Caenorhabditis elegans: one gene and its partners. The protein of the gene in region 3 interacts with the protein of the main gene of each other region in a pairwise test. Each region holds a gene or a part of one and is shown on either strand. Other genes may lie near its edges.

Evidence for each region.
Region 1: the proteins of mpz-5 (region 3) and tab-1 interact in a two-hybrid assay, tested with the Caenorhabditis elegans proteins (one large-scale study listed by BioGRID).
Region 2: the proteins of mpz-5 (region 3) and col-73 interact in a two-hybrid assay, tested with the Caenorhabditis elegans proteins (one large-scale study listed by BioGRID).
Region 4: the proteins of mpz-5 (region 3) and col-122 interact in a two-hybrid assay, tested with the Caenorhabditis elegans proteins (one large-scale study listed by BioGRID).

The regions. Positions count from the first base shown.
Region 1 is NC_003280.10:6,800,979-6,805,717, reverse strand, and holds tab-1 (Homeobox domain-containing protein), read right to left. Parts: upstream 2,018-4,739; 5' UTR 1,961-2,017; coding exon 1,841-1,960; intron 1,524-1,840; coding exon 1,291-1,523; intron 1,246-1,290; coding exon 1,171-1,245; intron 1,123-1,170; coding exon 957-1,122; 3' UTR 855-956; downstream 1-854. Other genes in the region: F31E8.5 (DUF4091 domain-containing protein), read left to right, coding at 34-208, 254-336, 386-517, 564-653.
Region 2 is NC_003280.10:4,871,014-4,875,504, reverse strand, and holds col-73 (Nematode cuticle collagen N-terminal domain-containing protein), read left to right. Parts: upstream 1-2,375; 5' UTR 2,376-2,378; coding exon 2,379-3,189; intron 3,190-3,241; coding exon 3,242-3,288; 3' UTR 3,289-3,407; downstream 3,408-4,491. Other genes in the region: F11G11.13 (arginine kinase), read left to right, coding at 7-18, 64-225; F11G11.15 (Ovule protein), read right to left, coding at 403-660.
Region 3 is NC_003282.8:10,371,767-10,376,456, forward strand, and holds mpz-5 (PDZ domain-containing protein), read right to left. Parts: upstream 2,057-4,690; 5' UTR 2,020-2,056; coding exon 1,996-2,019; intron 1,952-1,995; coding exon 1,841-1,951; intron 1,762-1,840; coding exon 1,633-1,761; intron 1,589-1,632; coding exon 1,463-1,588; intron 1,417-1,462; coding exon 1,330-1,416; intron 1,290-1,329; coding exon 900-1,289; 3' UTR 872-899; downstream 1-871. Other genes in the region: iars-1 (Isoleucine--tRNA ligase, cytoplasmic), read left to right, coding at 1-355, 409-534, 591-713; Ankyrin repeat and KH domain-containing protein mask-1, read left to right, coding at 3,180-3,293, 3,344-3,511, 3,558-3,727, 4,104-4,222, 4,560-4,684.
Region 4 is NC_003282.8:9,560,845-9,565,519, reverse strand, and holds col-122 (Nematode cuticle collagen N-terminal domain-containing protein), read right to left. Parts: upstream 2,142-4,675; 5' UTR 2,133-2,141; coding exon 2,112-2,132; intron 2,006-2,111; coding exon 1,124-2,005; 3' UTR 1,079-1,123; downstream 1-1,078. Other genes in the region: lron-14 (eLRR (extracellular Leucine-Rich Repeat) ONly), read left to right, coding at 1-230, 277-406, 469-585, 876-983, 2,442-2,552, 2,598-2,672, 2,986-3,159, 3,317-3,412 and 3 more.

The DNA of each region.
Region 1 (4,739 bases), on a different chromosome or scaffold from region 3:
TAATTACTTGGAGTTAAAAAAAAACCTTTCCAGAACGATCAGCACGTTTCCAATGCTTACAAAATGTTCACTCTATCGACGAATAAGTGCCACTGGTTCAGACTTTGGATCACCCAGTTACCAATTGACCAATACAAAACAGGAATGAAACTTTCCGAGACTGTCGATTTCTTTCTCAACGAAGGATTTTACGTCTCTCCTCAGTCTGGTATTTTGAATTATTATTAACTTCTCAATTGATGGAAATTTTCAGATGTTGCTTATCCATTGCCGGGTGTGAGTGAGCTCACAAAGTTCAAATTCACTGTCTCACGAGAACCAAGTAACGAAAACTACGTTAGTTTTTTTAAAATCAAATATAAATCTTCAATTTCATAGTTTTTAGGTTGACATGGTGTTCGGAGAAATGCAAGGAAATCCAATCTATCAGGATCAATTCAAGCTTCCAGTTACAGAGAGCACATCATTCAATATTCATGTTATCAAGGCACCTGGTTGTGATATTGAAATGGATACGGTAACAAACGTTTTGTTTTATTCAAGCTTAACTTAAAAATCTTCAGCGTACTTTGTTGTGGAATGACTACAATGCTGCAGTTCCAACTAATATGTGGGAAATCGGAAAATGTACATTCAACTTCTTCGATGAATAAGTGTCCTATTGTATTATGATTTGGAATAAAATAATTTAACAACCATTTTTCAAAGTTTCGTTTTTTTGAGGACTGATGGGCAATTGGCAAATCAAAAAGTTCAAAATTGAATTATAAGATGTGAGATAAATATAATTAAAGTAATACCCCATGACTTATTCCTCATAATCATAAATATAAGTTGGTAATAAAATATCTGTTAGAAATTTGACTTTATTTGGACATGCAATAATATAATACATCAATATTCTTTAAATAAATATTCATAGAGAAAAGACAATCTACCGGTAAATATATATATACTTATTCGCTCTCATTATCATTTCCATTGTCGTCATCCACACTATTATCATCTTTTCTGACAACTTTCTTGTGCTTCATTCGTCGGTTTTGAAACCATGTTTTAACTTGAGTTTCACTCAAATTGAGAGCATTTGCCAATTCAATTCTCTCAGGAGTACTCAGATATCTGAAAGTCTGATTTAGAATACTAAACTCGGAATGCATTTTTGGTCACCTTTGGGATTCAAATCTTCGTTCCAATCCTTGTAGTTGCTGATCACTGAACACTGTTCTTGCTTTTCTTCGCGAACTGAAAACAGAAGAATAATTATATTTGATAAATTTCAATCATTACCATTCCAACCTCAATCTTCTATACGCTTTAGTTGCATTTGACAATCGAATCTGATCAGCTGTTGACCAGAATCCAGGAAAAACTCCATTTCGTTGAGCCAACAAGAGACTATGTTCTATTGGAAACGCTGCTGCTGCAAGCCAAAGCTGATCAGAAAGAGCAGGAGTGATTGTGGGAGTTAATTCATTTGTCAATGGAACTGACATTACGGATATCGATGATTTTTCTGATCCCTGGAAGTAAACCGATAGAGTAATTTTTGATGATCAAATTTACATATTTTATTGAAATATTACTTGTTGAATTTAAGTAATTGTGAAAGAACAAGCATCACATCAAGGAAACAAAATATTTTTTAATGAAGTTGCGACTTATTTTGAATCAATTTTAAAGAAATCATTGACCAAAGGCCAAAAAAAACGGAAAAATTATATTTAAATTCAATTTTGATAATTGAGCGAAATACATTCCTGATATGTTTGTTTAAATATTTGCAGAGTGCCTATGGTGACTACAAAACCCAAACGAGAAAAATAGTTTAAGAACATACCTCATCTGAACTTGATTGGGGAGTGGGCGATGTTTGATCAAGCTTCAGAATTCTTTGAATTTCGTTTGAATGCCCACGAAGAAGATCATCAATTGAAAAACTTGATACAGGAGTTATCATTTTCAAATAAGTTTGAAGATTATTTTACGGGAGGTAAGATTCTCGTGTAAATGAGCTAACACGGTAATATGGTGCTCCCATAGGAGCACAATGGGTGGAGCTTCAGACGGCATCGGAAGGGGGCGGAGTCGGCGAATAGAGATGAAGGTCCCGTGAAAGACGACAAGGAGAAGAAGAAAAAAGAGTTGATGAGAGGGATAATGATTGTGAATGACAGTATTGCCGTAGGCAATATTGTAGGCGGTTGATGAAAGAATAAACAACCACTTAAGTGACGATGAGCAAAATATGGAAATTGATTGTCTCGTAATGTTCAGTACTAGAATAAAATATTGAAACTAATCAGTTGTGTCATTTTCGATCAGTCGTGTATTATGATGACGTGTTCATTTTTTGTATATGGTCTGGAGTCTTCTTTTCTTGCCAGTTTTGATGATCTGGAATAGTATATCTAGCATATAGGTGAAATTAAAATTCCAATAAAAACAAAACGTAATTTACATAATGTTTTCAAACCTCAAATATCTCATCAAGAAATTGGAAAAGCTTAGCAATCAACTCAATTTCTGAAAATTTTCAAATGGTCTACAAAAGATTCTTGGCCAAATACTCTAGAAGTATTAACTTGATTGACAAAATAATTTTGATTTTGCAAACTCTTCAAATTCACTAACGATGTAAGTCTTGTACTTATTCTTAAAATTTTGTACTTATTCAGGCATGCCTACTACGCACCTTTCAGTACTTTTGTGGTAGACAAAGGCCACAGGCAGTGTTTGTGCCTACATGAAAAGCCTACTTACAGCCGTTTTCCACTTTTGGCACAATTCGACCTCTCATGCTCATCATCTCCCTCTAATTACGTGTTTATGTTACAATACAATGCGATTGAGCCAGTACAATAACAATAACAAGTGTGAACGTGTTGAGAGCGACACGCGTCTAGTAATAGTCATTGTGCAACTGAGCAATTTGAACCTTTCCACAGATGTTCACCACTTCCCCAACAACTTGTGCATTTTTTGTGCATATCACTGTACCCCTTCAAACGTTTTAAAGCTTGGAGAGAAAATAGGGAAAGACGACTGGCTGACCTGACTAAACGAAGAAATTGAGCATCGAGTAACGAAGACTATTATTGCATTATAGACGGCAGAAGCGCTAGAAGGCTTTTAACTTATTATGTTGAGTAGACATACTCACACAAACTTATTAGCAACAAGAGGAGTAAGACCTGCTGTGCAAAATATTGTTGCCACGTCATCAAATACAAGACAAAGAATATTAAGAAAAGTTCCTTCCGTTTACATGTCACACTTAATTATAACTGGCTCTATGGGTACTTTGAACATTTGACACCTCATGACTTGCTCTATTGTTTCTTGAGTCACCGCAAAAAGGTGTCCTGTGGTGAGCTCCAATGTAACATAGTTCCAGAAGAATTACTTCATCATCACTCCTCCCTCATACTCGTGGTGTTAATACAAAAACTTATGCATATGCAATACAGCAATTATTCCCAATTAGTTAGCGGATTTCACTACCGTAGAAGAAGTAGTCGTTGTATTGAAGCTTCTATTTCATCACAATTGGCATGCTGTTTTGTCGGTATATAGCTCATCATTGAAAACGCGCTCATTATTCTTACGAAAATCTGTGTGATTTTAGTGGAAAACAAGATTTGATGAGAAGATGTTTTGCAAATTAGTGAGAAGAGAATTCTGCAATTAATGAAGGATTTTAAGCAAAGGAGATTTTTCAGAAAGTAGAAGAAAATAGTTATTAAACATTTGAAAAATTCAGATTCAAATTTTCAAAAAGCAAATTCTCACACTCTTGACAGTCTTTTCAAAAAAATAAACATCTTCAAGTATTTTCCATGTACAAATTTGATAAAGAACGGACCAGCAGGAAGCCAGCCATTATCAGCCCCTAGTTATACCTGCTTGTTGGGTTCATTATTTAAAAAGAAGGGTTCATATTTAAAAACTATGCACACTCCCACTATTACTAAACTTGCCTGAACTCGATGCATGACCGCGTCACTTGTCCCAAAATATCACTAATGGATGGATTATTTAAGATAAAATTTTTAAATGTAGTCAGAAAAAATTTCCTAGTTATTTGCTAACACGATAATCGTATACATTTCAAATTATATGTACATTCTAAAATGCGGGAACCATAATGACCCTTTCGTATTCTGATCACCACCTTTAGCACTAATTCCAAATGATTCCCACTTGAACCCGTGTGCAGGTGAGAAGAGTCGGCAAACCGATAAACGCATTTTCAAAAACTGTATCCGAAGGATTAGTGTTGAGATAAAGTAAGTGCGTCTGGTGCGACATCTCTCTTGCTTTCCGTAATCTTTTGACAGACAGCTCTTCTTTTTGATTGGGATGTGTAGCAACAACTAATGAATTGAGCAAATATTGCACTAATGGCACGCATGTGCCGACACACTCACAGACACCTACAAAAACAATAGAATAACATACTGTTGGATTACGGTCTTCCTAATTGGATGAGCAAATGGGAAAACTTATTGAGAACTGTTGTTGCGATGTGAAAGGGGGTGTGCTTTCTAGATCAATAAAACATTATTAAATTTCTGGTTCACCTCAATTACTTAATGATTGCCGACATTTTTTGGAATTTATGTGTAACAAAGTTGTTACGGTAGAACACATTACAGCTGTGCAACATTTTGGCATTACCTCGATAATTTATGAAACGTTCTCAGTAATAGCTCAAAACCCATTTTGACCGTAAACTT
Region 2 (4,491 bases), on a different chromosome or scaffold from region 3:
AGTGAGATGAAGCTTCAGGTATTTTTCAAGTTTCTTTTCAGCAAATTACAGTGAGTTTTTCAGATTCGTGGAATTCACGGAGAATATTCGGATTTGAAGGAAGGAATCTATGACATCTCGAACAAGCAACGCCTTGGACTTACTGAGTATCAAGCCGTTCGTCAGATGTACGATGGATTGAAAAAGTTGATTGAGTTGTGGAGAAAGCCGCCGAATAAGAACTAGTATCATTTTCAATGAAATAAATTTTTTAGTAGATGATTTTTTTTTCATCCCCGGTTGTTTGCAGTTTCAAAGAATTGGGTTTTTAGATCAGAAAAATTAGAAAGTATATCGACACATTCTAACAATTTTAACTTGATTTAACTTCCTTCTAATTTTCTTCGAACGTTTTTTCTTCTTTCAACAGGTTTCATGAAAATATTGCAAATACATTTTATTGATCACAATCCAAATAAATAGAAAAAGGAATAACAAATATTTTGTTAGTGGACATTTTTGTATAGAAAAAGTGAGATATAAGCTGACAAAATTGAACAATGGGGTACAATACAAAACGATGAAATACGATAGGTGGTTGTGAAGCCGACATTGAACATACACCCCGGATAATTTTGCACTTTCAGGATTACTGTAACTGGCAACTACATGATGGATCATTGATCAGATTGCTTGACCCGAAACCTATCAAAATGCATTTAATCTATTGAACCTGATGATTACTGTAATAATGTTGGACCTCACATTATTTCAGCTTCTCCATCAATCTTACCAGCAAATGACAGTGACAATCACAAACAAACCACCTGATTCGAACAATCACATGCATCTTTGGAACGTCTTCATAAACGTTGTTCACATGCCACACCCAATTGCCAGCCGAAAGTCTGCCCTTGGAGATGGGCAAAAAGTGAATAACACAGTGAACCGAATATATATCCAATTCACATTATCAATACGCGTATCACTACTTTCATTCGTTCATCATCTATACCTGACTGTTATCATTTGATAATGAGAATGTGAAGTATGTGTACATAAAGAGAAGAAAGGTTCTAAAAAAAGGGGATATCAAAAGAATGAAGCTAAAGGGACAGAAGAAGTTTATGACAAGGTATGAACAGAAGAAAAATGATGTTCTGACGCAGCCGCCATCAGTTGGTCAGAGTACTGGAACGCGGAAGGAGAATAATGTTGAATAAGTATACCAAAAGCTCAAAAGCTGAAATTTTTCTTAAGAAAAGTACAATTTTTAATATATTATCAGTAAACGAAAAATCTTAGAATTTACCGAAATTTTTGGAAAAAAATTCCAAGTGATGAGGTCCTACATTCTGGAACTTAGATCTGAAATTCTTTCAGAGTTATTTCTTCAAAAATCAGATTTCGAAGCTCATGGAATTGCCCTGACACATTTTTAATAGACTTCTGAATATTTCGAGAGTGCTTAGAAATAGACAAATAATCTGAAAGTTTATTTAAATTAAAAACAAATATTTCTGTCAATTTAAAAATATTCGATTAAAGTTCCAGATTTGTTTTAAAAAAACACGAATTCCCTAAAAAATCTAGAACATTGATTACCAAAAAAAAAAAACAAAAACAAAAACAACAAGAATTTACATTACAGACAGCAGAGCTGAATGCCAATTTTGTGACACCCTAGTATTAACGTCAGGCCTTTGTGAGTATACTTGTAAGCAAACTATACATCAAACTCCTTTTTAGGAAATACTGCCCCTCTACGTTTATCTACAAAACAAACTGAGCACCTCAATTCACTGTTCCGAGTTGATTTTAAAAATGAGGAACTAAATCATTGCAACTTTGAAATAACTTTGAAATAATGTTCATAGTATCATAATCATAAAAGTAATGATCAGATCACCAGCATATCACCTACAACTACCTCTCTCTCTTTCCCTCTTCTTACAAGCGGATCAAGCTTCTTCTCTCATGGCATGGGAAAGGGCGTCGGGTAGGTGGTGCTTCACTCCGAGACATGTATCTGATAAGTCGAAGAGAGGCGATGTATCTCTGACGCTCTCCTCAAAATGAACAATATTTTGGGCAAAAGCTTAGGCGATATTCAACAGAACAACAAAAAAAGGAGCAAAAAGGGTAGGCGACCGCTGCAGACCCGAATCGCTTATAAGACCGGTGATGGCGAGAGGAGAAACACATCTTTGCTTCATTCTAGCTTCATCTTCTCATTTTATTCTCATTATTACTTCTAAATATTATTCTTTAATTATTTTTAATTAAATTTTTAAAAATAATCTAAACATTATTTTTTGTAGTTATAACTCTAAACAACTCTCATAATTTCTGACTTTCTGATTTCTAAACTTCAATCCATCATTTTCCATTGTTACAGTATGAGCCAAGACGATAAGCAAAAGCTTGTGGAGGTCGAGACCGTGAAGAAATTCGCGTTCTTCGGAATTGCAGTCTCCACTGTTGCCACTTTGACAGCTATCGTTGCAGTCCCAATGCTTTGCATGTACATGCAAAACGTTCAATCCGGACTTCAAGATGAGATCAATTTCTGCCGTACTCGTTCCGACTCTCTTCGTGGAGAATACACCAAGCTCGATCAATTCCGTAAAGCTGAGAGCCGTGAGAAGCGTCAAACCTACCAATGCTGCTCTTGCGGAATTGGACCAGCTGGATCCGTTGGAAACCCAGGACAAGACGGAGCCCCAGGAAATGACGGAAGACCAGGAGCCCCAGGAGCCCCAGGACCAGATGCTCCAAATGAGCACGTTCAACCAACTCCAGCCGATTTCTGCTTCGAGTGCCCACCAGGACCAGCCGGAAACGCCGGAAACCCAGGACCAAAGGGACCACCAGGACAGCCAGGAGCACCAGGAGAGCAAGGACCAAATGGACGCCCAGGAGCCCCAGGAGCCCCAGGACCACAAGGACCACCAGGAACCGCAGGAAATGACGGAACTCCAGGACAACCAGGAGCCCCCGGACAAGTCCGCACCGTCCCAGCCCCACCAGGTAACCCAGGACAGCCAGGAGAGCCAGGAGCCCAAGGACCACCAGGAGAGGATGGACGCCCAGGAAACTCAGGACCACAAGGACCACCAGGACCACAAGGAGAGCCAGGACAAGATGGAGCTCCAGGAAACCCAGGAGCACCAGGAGAGGCTGGAGAGCCAGGAAAGGACGGAGCCAAGGGTAAGTATTTATTCAATTTTTGTACATTTCTCTTATCATTCCCTAATTCCAGGAGGATGCGATCACTGCCCAATCCCAAGAACTGCTCCAGGATATTAATTCCTCAATTGCTATTTTCTTGCTTAAATTATTTCTCTTTCTCTCTACTTGTATTTATAATACCTGTCGAAACATTTCACGGGGCTCTTCAACAAGAAACCAATAAAACTATTGAAATTAATTGAACTTGTAAAGAGAATTGGATGAATAGGAAAAGAAAGGTGAAGAGATAGAAAGTGAAAATGAGTGAATGTAATGATGGACGGTCATTTAAAAGGAAGGTGACTCGTAAAACAAAACTATTATGATTCGTTTAAAGAACGGTGACAATGTGGAAAAATATTGGTAATAGAAATTATGAAAACACAAAAGTTAAAGAAGCTCTTCGATACGCTTAGTTTTGAGCTTAAGGTTTTGAAACTTTTTTTCGCGTTAACAAAACTTAATTCACACTAATGAATCAAAAAACTAATATTTGAAATTTAATTTTTTATAATTTTTAAAAAAATTCTTTACGGCGAATAAACTCTAGGAAGACCAAAACTTTAGAGTAGTTACCAGATGCGAAATTTTATAGAAACAATGGCAACGTTGAGCTGCGGAATGTAGGCCTCCAGCTAGTTGTGGAAAATACATCACGAGGCATAAATGTGATCAAAACCTGCCTGTAAATTTCAGTTTTAAAGTAATTTTTAATAAAAATTGAATTGTATACTTTTTTTGTGGACACTTTTTCAGACGAGGCTTTTTATCAACTTTTTTTGTGACCTCAACTAGTGGAAATTGGGAATGGGCACAAAAACATTTTCTGCAATTTGGTATTTGCCACTTTTGGAGCTGTCAAAAAAGAAATAGGCTTCTCACTCTTTCAGCAAACCGGAAAAGATCGAGCTCAAAAACTTGGCAGTTGTGAGGTAAAATTTCGGAAAAGTTAAATTGCAATGAATTTTAAAAAATGAATACCTGAAATGTTTTTCTGTCACATAACAAAAGCTCGTCCCTTTACCAAATTATAGATTTTGCAATGTTCTACTCGGAATTTTGGATTGCCGAATGGTATTATCTGGTTTTTATTGACACTCGCGAAAATAGGTTCTAAAAATCCTGAAACATTTTCAACAAAGGAAAAGTTTTATGTTGCTACCCCTATCAAATTTTAAGAAATAACTTCCGTCATTTTTCTATTTTCCATCACAACGGCACGATTGCCGATTGCAAGGAATGATAACAGTTCAGATCGGTTCGTTTTTCTGTTTTCTTTTT
Region 3 (4,690 bases):
TAGCTACGCGGCTGGAAGTGATCAAGGACATGGATACAAAACTCACTCGGATGCAAAGACCATTGTAATGATTGATACAACTGAAGATGAGTCTCTTATTGAAGAAGGACTCTGCAGAGAAGTGACAAATCGTGTTCAACGTCTTCGCAAACAGGCTAAACTTGTATCTACTGATACTGCTCATGTTCATATTGTTGTTAGTCCAGCTGATTCTCAACTCGCAAAGGTTGTTGCTGCCAAATTGAATGACATTGTATCCGCTACTGGAACACCTATCAAGTTGGGATCACCACCAGCCGCTGCAAAGGCTCCAACTGCCACCAGCAAGAGTGCAATTAAGGATTCAGAAGTTGAGGTAAATTCCGTTTTTGTTGATGTTCTCTAATATTCCTGAACAATTATTTTCAGCTTTGGTTGTTCGCCGAAGGTGACAGTTTCGATGGGATCACTGTTGTTGATGGATCAAAGAAAGTTCGAGTTCATGTGAAAACAGAAAAAGAACACCTGAAGGGATATGCTGATCTTCTATATCACGTATGTTTATCGGGTTTTCCTAGAAATTTAAAATGTTAAATCTGTTTTTGTTTCAGGTTCGCTCTGCTCTTGATCTCTGGAACGGTAAGATTGCCTTGAAGAATGTCGATGGATCGGCGGTCCATCCAACAGTTGACGTGACGTCTCTTGTTGGTCAGACTCTTCAACTCGTACGATAAATTGCTATTACATCTTTAAATTATCCATATCCGGTTCGCATTTTAGTTCCTGGCTTTATTTGAACCCATTTGAACCGCAGTTTTTCTCATATTTGTTTCTTACACTATTTTGTTTGCTGTTAACGTATAATATTTAATTATGAATGTTTAAGGATTTTAATGTAGAAACTTTATTATCAGAGAAATTCAGCTAGCATTTTTACACGCTCTCAGTTTAGCAGGATCAATGTCACTAACGATCTGATGTTCTGTACGTCCCTCTTTCAATTTGATGTTTTTCTTCTTATCTCCTTTCTTCGGTTGTTGTGGTAGATATCCTTTCCCCAATTTTCTGAACTCCTCTACCGCCTTATCAGCAATTGCCACAACATCATCTGCCAAATCAATGTGATCTCTGAGAATATCTCGAATTGGTGCTTCAATAAGAAGCGTAAAGTGTCCAGAAGAAGCGATGCTGCTCGCAATACAATAACGGAGCATGCTCTTCGAGCAAATTGCCTGAGAATTACACTCCCGAATGACATCTCCAGATTTCAGATGGATGGATGCTAAGCTGTTTGGAGTAACATAATCAACCTGAAAATGAAATGCGGTGGTTACTGTAAGTTTAAATTACCTCCAAACGATCTCTATTGTTATATTTGACAAATAATCCCAAGTCAATGAATTGCATTTCAGGAGTTGGACGAACTTTTATGAGAACCTAAAATAAGAAAGTTTTTTTTTTAATTTTTAAAAAGCTGTCTCACAAAGTAATGGTTAACAGGATTTGGAGTGATTCTCTCTAAATCTCTGTCAATTTGGATTTTCTCAACAGTTGTTCGAATATGAAAACACCAGGAAAACATGTTACGTTTCAGTTGTAGATGAATATTCTGAAATTTTCGTTTGCAAACACTCGATTCAGAAATATTAACACCTCAGTTTTCTCTTTCAACTTTTGGTGCAACTCGTCACTAGTGTGGATAACTTTTTCATCGATTGCAGTGATACAATCACCTAGAAATGCTTTTCCAATAAGATGTGATTCAGGAAGGACATGTGTGATCTGAATATGAATTATGTATGGTGTCCCAAAATCAAGATCAAGAGCTCAAGAATTTGAATAAATACTATTTGACAATTACCCGACAATCCTGCTTGTGTACACGAACTCCTATTGGCTTTCGAATCATGAAATGGTCGATCAATTCCTTTGGCAAAAGCTTGTCAATGTTGAAATCTTTATCAAGAGCCAACTTAATTCATTTATGTTTATTTTGAATCGTTTCAGTTGTCTTACGCTGCCGCTTTCATTTTTCTTCATAATTCGATCGGTTTGTATGAAAACTCAATTGGGAAATGATTTTTTTTTGATTTTCAGGTTTTATAAAACGTTTTCTTAAATCCAAATAATTGGAAACGTGACATTAAATTTAATATTAAAATAACACAATTTTTAAAACTATTCTTCTTTATCACGAATTGTCGATTTCTGTTTTTTACAAACATTTAAACAGAATTCTGTACAGAACTTTTTTTTATTCACAAAACATAAAAACCTTTTTTTTATTTTTTGGGAGCACGCACAGCAAATGCGTCAGCACAAGTTGCTGGCGCAATTCTCGTGCTGACGCTTTTACGAACCCATTATTTTCTTTCGAATTTGCCAACCAGCTTTCCAAGACTCAATTCTTGCATGGTTTTGGGAGGAATATTGAATTTTTCAGTTTCATTTAATTTTTGAAGTTTGCAAAATCATTTTTCATATTACTTCGTTTACATTTCTATTGCTCGTAACTGGATTTCGTTAGGGAAAAGGAGGATGCGTTATGCGCGAGTATTCGGATTATCCTCCATAATTTTTTTCTAGTTTTGATAAAGTTAGTTTTAATATATTTGAGAAAATTGTTTATATCGATTGTTAAGAAATCATTATGTTTAATTCAAAAAGTAACATGCGTTTCGGATCTACGAAGTCATTTATTTTTTTGAATGCTAATTTTAGGATTTTCTAAATTTTCTAGAATGTTATTGCGAACAATAATCAATATGTTCCTTCTTTATCACTATCATCCATCGATTCATCTTCTCACATCCTCCCTAATTCCTTTCCTCCTCATGCCCGTTGCCATGCCGTTGTTCCGATAGTGAAACGAAAAGGGCAGATGGAAGAAGACGTGTATTATGTCTGTCACGCGCCTACAACTTCTCCGAACATCGCCTGTGTCTTACTTTCATGGAAGAAACACAATAAATTGTTTTCCAACATTTTGAAATTATGGGTTATCCTCTTCACCTGCCACATAGGTTTCCGGAAGAAAATTTTTGTTTTGAAAAGTTACCATTAAGATTATTGTTTCAGTTAAAACAATCATTTTTCTTTGTATTTTCCTTTTTGCTTAAAAATTCAGAATTTTCCAATATCAATTATTTTAAAAATTTCAGAAGCGACGAGACCACCGTGTTAGTTTAGCCAAAGGTGGAATGGCTCACCTTAATATGTTCAATCACCTCATTCCATTAGAAATGGATATGGATGGAGCAGACGAAGAAAAACGACAACGAGTTTTTTCATCTTTTTACCACTTTGGTGCTAGGGTGAGCTATTTTTGTTCGACTAAAAAAATTTCAATAAATTTATATTTTAGCTTTACGATTGCCTTCACACAATTGCCATCGAAATCGAAGACGATGACTGTGAGCATTTTCCGACAAAAGCCATCTCAACTGTTCTCAAAATTCTCAATTTTGAGCATTTCCTCTCATCGGACAAGTGTCGATTTCCCCCGGTCTCCAACCTTCTCGATATAATTGAGGTAAATATTTCAATTAGTTTAAAGTCTCGATTTTTATTAATTTCAGAGTCGACAAATGGATGATTGTCAAATCCTTTTTAAAATATCCGACCTTCTTGAAGATCATAAAAGTGAAAAACCTGAAAGATTTGGACCGTACAACCCTTTGGATCCCAAAAAGGTTCCAATCAAAAATGCTGTCGATGCACTTACCTCGGTTTCCTCGATGGCTTACTCGTGAGTTTTCAAATTGAAATTTTTGATTGAATAAGTAATTGGAATTTTTCGAGTATTCACCTTAAATAAATTAGCACTTATACAAAGTACATATCAAAAATTATATACCGAAAAATTGAAAATCAGGAGCGCCATTTTTTTCCATTTTCTATGAAACACGTTGGAATGACATTGCGGAATAGGTTATTTTTTGCAAAGTTTCCGAAAAAGTCGAAAGTTGCAGTCGAAAGTTATGAAAATGAAATTTTTGTTATTATTTTTGAATACAAAATCGCATTTCATGCTCAATTTTCTAGACATTTTGAAAATTATAAATTGATTGACGGAAAAAAGGAACCTGAAAAAATAAAAAAAACATTATAGAATTATTTTTCAGCTTTCTTGCCACTACATTCGCCGAAGAATTAATGAAAGCAGCGATTCGTGATATTTATGTTTTTGACGAAGATTCGCTTGAAGACAACGATGAAACCCAACTCAGCGACGAGAATGGTGGTAAGTTTTGATTAAAAAAACAGCCCGTTATTTCATACTATATTACAAAAATCGTACAAATATTACAAAATCAAGCTTTTATGCTCAAACATTTTTTGATTTCAAAATGCCTTAGGATCTCGTAACGCTTTGAACTTATCCACAAAATAAAAGTAAAACAACATTAACAACATTTTATAATAGACATTGAGTGTTAGTACAGAATAAGAAAATATGCTTAAAAACTGTTTGTTTTAGCTTTATGATGTGACTGACTGAAATGGACGATAACATGGACGGTGATAAATTTCTGGAAAAAAAAATAAAGAAAATAAACAGAAATAATATTAAATTTCAGTATTCGATTCCACACCTTCGAATAACGAGAAAAAAGATTCGATAATCAATTTTCGTCAACTTCCTTCCATTGATAGTCAAATTGTTCAGCAAAATGCAATGCTTCTTCTTGCAGCTCGAGTTGGTGTAAGT
Region 4 (4,675 bases), 810 kb from region 3:
ATTCGGCATAACCTCGTCTCCACAATTCACTATGTTCCAGCAAGTGCTAGAAATCTGAAACGCCTTGATTTGGCTGGAAATCGAATGGAATTTGTTGGTGGTTTGACGACTGGAGCTGTGAATGTATTGCCTGCAGAGTTGAAACACGTGGATTTGTCGAATAACAAGTTGACGTATTTACATGATCATGCATTTGAGCACTTGACAAATTTGATTTTGCTGGATTTAAAGTTGGTTTTGTATTGAAAAAGTATTTTCCGAACATTATTCTTGCAGAAACAACAGCCTAAAGGAAGTGAAGTCATCAAGTTTTGCTGGTTCCAAATTTCAAGTCAAATTGTTTTTATCCGAGAATCCACTACTATGTCACTGTAATCATAAATGGTTAATGGATTCTTCTGCTAAAGTTTGTTTTTGAAGTTTTTACACAATTTCTAATTTTTTGGTATTACGTTTGATATTTTTTAGAACATATCAATTGGAGACCTTCAGACAATTGAATGTCTCAATATATTGAAACCAGAAAAGAAAATGCTGCTCACGTTAGCTCATTCAAGGAATCAACTGCTCTGCAAATATTCTAATGTAAGTTATTTTATAAATGTTTCATTTTAATTGAAAAAACAATTGGTGGCGTACTACCAATATAATTCGATTTAAAAGAGACTAAGATGTATAGTTTAATAAAACCGTGCTGAGAAAAAGCCTGATATCAAACAACAGTAATTATATACCCAACAGACTTTAATTATGCTATCAAACATTTTCTTCAAAAAATTAATCGAGAAAATTGAACTGATAATTAAAAAAGGTTTCAAGGTAGGCTAAAAAAAATTTCAAATACATAGTAACTTTGAAACAGTAATTTTTTTCAGATGTGTGAAGCAGATTGTGAATGTTGTCAGAAAAAAGAATGTGAATGTCGTTTCGAATGCCCGCCGACGTGCAAATGCTTGAGATCTGCGGATGTCTCTATTGTGAGGGTATGATTTTTGGAAACTGGGAAATTAGATATTTCATCAATTCTAGCTTTTTGAAAAACTCATTTTGTGTATTTTCGAACTAAAAAAACAATATTGGAATGCTAAACTCTTTATGAAAAATGGGAGAGACGAAATAAAATCTAGCGTCTGGATCCGTCCTCGAAGAAGACTCCTCCATCGATAGCACAGTATTTTGGACAGATTCCCTTCTCTCCTGGAGTTCCATCGGATCCTGGAAGTCCTGGTTGTCCTGGAGCTCCATCTTGTCCTGGCTCTCCTGGTCCTCCACGTGGTCCTGGTTGTCCTGGGGATCCTGGAGCTCCATCCTTGCCCTTGATTCCAGCAACTCCACGTGGTCCACGTGGTCCAGCACGTCCTGGCTGTCCTGGTTGTCCTGGCTTTGGCTCGTCGGAGTGTCCTGGTGGTCCTGGTGGTCCTTGGGATCCTGGCTTTCCTGGGTGTCCGTTTGGTCCGTGTGGTCCTGGTTGTCCTGGTTGTCCTGGTCCTCCATTTGGTCCATCGTGCCCTGGTGGTCCTGGTGGTCCCTCGGATCCTGGCTTTCCTGGTGCTCCTGGAGCTCCTGGTGGCCCTGGTGGGCAAGCTGGGCATGGTGGTGGGGTTAATGGTTCACATGGTGACTGTGGTGGCTTTCCTGGGTGTCCTGGGGCTCCTGGTGCACCTGGGCGTCCTGGAGTTCCTGGGCGTCCGGCAGCTCCGACTGATCCAGCGGCTCCTGGCAAGCAGCATCCGTCGCAGCTATTGTGCTCCTGGGCTGGGGCGTCTTGAACGGCAACATCGTATCCAGCTTGACGCGCGGTACGGTTCCCTCTCCCGGGAAGAGCTGGCATAGCGACAGCGGTAGCATATACCGTGTTAACGGTGTCACGGCAGTGACGGAGCTCAGAGTGCATTTGAGAGCGGAGGTTGCTCACATAAGAATAAACGAGTGGAAGAGTAATGCAAACGGAAAGAATTCCGACAGCTGAGAGGGAGACTGCGGCATACCCGATGAGACGGTAGGCCTGAAAAATTGTATAATTTTCGAAAAATAAGAGTCATGAATGGTTTTTAAAATTAAATTCTAAAGCCTCTTAGAACTTTAAACTAAACCAAACAATTTGTGAATACCTTGATTTTGTTGTCCTCCATTTTTGAGATGATCAAGATTGGATGATGCCTTTCCATGTTAAACCCATTCCTTTTATACTGACAATTTTCTCTTGATCACTGTTTCCTTTTTTCATTTTTTTTTTCATTTTGTGTTACCAAATCTATGTCTCCACATTTCCCATTATCACTCATCCTATCACTATGGATCTATCTTTGTTGTCAGGTACGCCCGCGCGGTTTCGCTAACTTTACACTTTCCAATTGGTTTTTTCTTGGATGATAAGGCACAATAGAAGAGAAACGGAACTAATTTGAAACTTTTTTGGTTAACCCGGAACATTATTTCAGACATCTCAAAACATTATGGTTTGCGACAAACTTCGATGGGATAAGCTCGGAAAATTTCCATCCCCATTGACACAATTACATATGAATCAGACTGATTGGAAGATTTTTGAGGTTTTTTTTTCTTTGGAAGAATTCATTAGACATCAAGACTTTTAGACCGAGAAATTGAAAGAACTGAGCAACTTGCGAGCTTTGAAGATCACAAATAGCAAAATGACTTCAGTGGAAATGGTGAGTTATTTTTTGAATCCGGAGGTTAATTTTGAAAATTGAGGGAAACTTAACTAACTGGTTTTGTGTTCCTAAGGTTTTTCAAATATAGAACTATGTATTTTTCAATTATTTTATGCAATTGGATGTATTTATGTAAACAATTTTTTACTGTTTCGACATGCCTACTTATGCAGTATGATATTTGAAATTTTAATCCTGCTGTCATTGTGTTGTCCGAAAATTTCACCTAATTTAGAGCATCATCTAATTTAGTTAAATTCTAATCAATTTCCATATTTCGCAAATAATGTCCACAAAAAAATTATTTCAGGAAAAGCTCACTGATCTTGCCAATTTGACCCATCTCGAAATAACATCTTCTGCCATCACCTCAATTCCAGAAACCATTACAAAATTACCATCTTTAACTCATCTCTACTTATCTGATAACCCATTGGATCAACTTTCATCAACATCCTTAAATCATTTGGATGGTTTAAAAAAGGTTAGTCACTTCAAAAGGAAAGGACATTTGACCAGAAACCAGTTTATCTATGTTCCATCATGATAAGACAAAACAGTCATTTTTTGGTGGAATCATTGGGTTACAAAACGAAACTTTCCATTTCAGTTTGGTTGATAATAATAAAAGAGAAATTCAGATTCGATTGGGTGGGAATTTCAGCAGATTTGCCTGTGATTGTGAGTCACCATCGGATTTTCAGAGATGGTTGATGAGAAGAATTAATCGAGCAAAAGTAAGAACATAGTCACATAGTTTCAGAGCAAAAAAGTTTAAAAATTAATTTCTGTTTCATAAGTTTTACAAATATAGTAGTAAATTTTGAAATTTATTCCTGATCGCCAAATTGTTATGCACTCAAATGTGTAATGTTGAATTTTGTTTCTCCTAATGTTAAATTTAAAAATATTGAAGCTTTGTCAATAATACATTCATGGTGAGGGACATTTTTATTACTTTTTCGAAAAAGTTAAAAGTGAACGTGCCATGCTCAAGTTTTGAGCTGATCGTCATTATTTCGAATTATTGAAGGCAATTGGTTTTTGCCAGTAATAAACTAAAATTATTATACATTAGTTTTTATCTTAATTGTTTTCTTACTGAGAATGGGATTACTAAAAGCAAACTTTTCATTTGAAGATTTATGTACCATTTTAATTTACTTTCTGAAAAAAAACTGAGAAAAGTTTTTACTGTTTCAAAAATGCCACAAATCAAATTTTTTCAATTATTTTATGTTAATCAATATTTATTGTTCAAAATCTGATTTCGAGTGGTTTTAAAATAAATTTTTCAGATAGATGATATTGATGATTTATATTGTGATTTAAATGGTCATGGAACAGTTTGGATGTTGGAAGCTCTTCCAGGAACAAATGAAAGTGTATGCCTGGATCCAACTGAAGAAACTAAACAATGGATGACATTTGTGGAAAATGCACAAAAAGGAATAATGGAAAGAGTTTATACTTCAACTGAATCAACAACTAAATCTGAGAAAACAATGATGACAACTACATTGAAAAAGAGTATTTTGGATACGATGGATGAACTAGAAGGTGTCAAATCTACCGAAAAAATTAGTAATAAGTGAGTTGATTGGTTTGAAAATTCAGCGAAGCCAAAAAAAGTTTCTAAAAACTGAAAAAATTTTCAGAGTAATCTCAACGACAACCGTTCCCACAACAACTCCTCGATATCGCAAGAAATACAAGAATTATGACAATGAACCTCATAAATTTGTCAATGTTCTCATTTTCTTGCTCTTCTTATGTGTGATTATCTTGATAATTTCAATAGGAGTCACCGTATATTTGAAGTAAGTTTTCAAAATAAAATCTATTTGAATGATAGAATCAATAAAAGATTTCAGATTTTGGCATCCTGAAGAGCTTTTAATGAAGCGTCGGAAAAAAGAAAGACTTCGACCGGAAATTCAAAGAGAAGAAGAACCATTGCAGCATTTAGATTGAAGAAGAATAATAGAAGTTTTAGAATT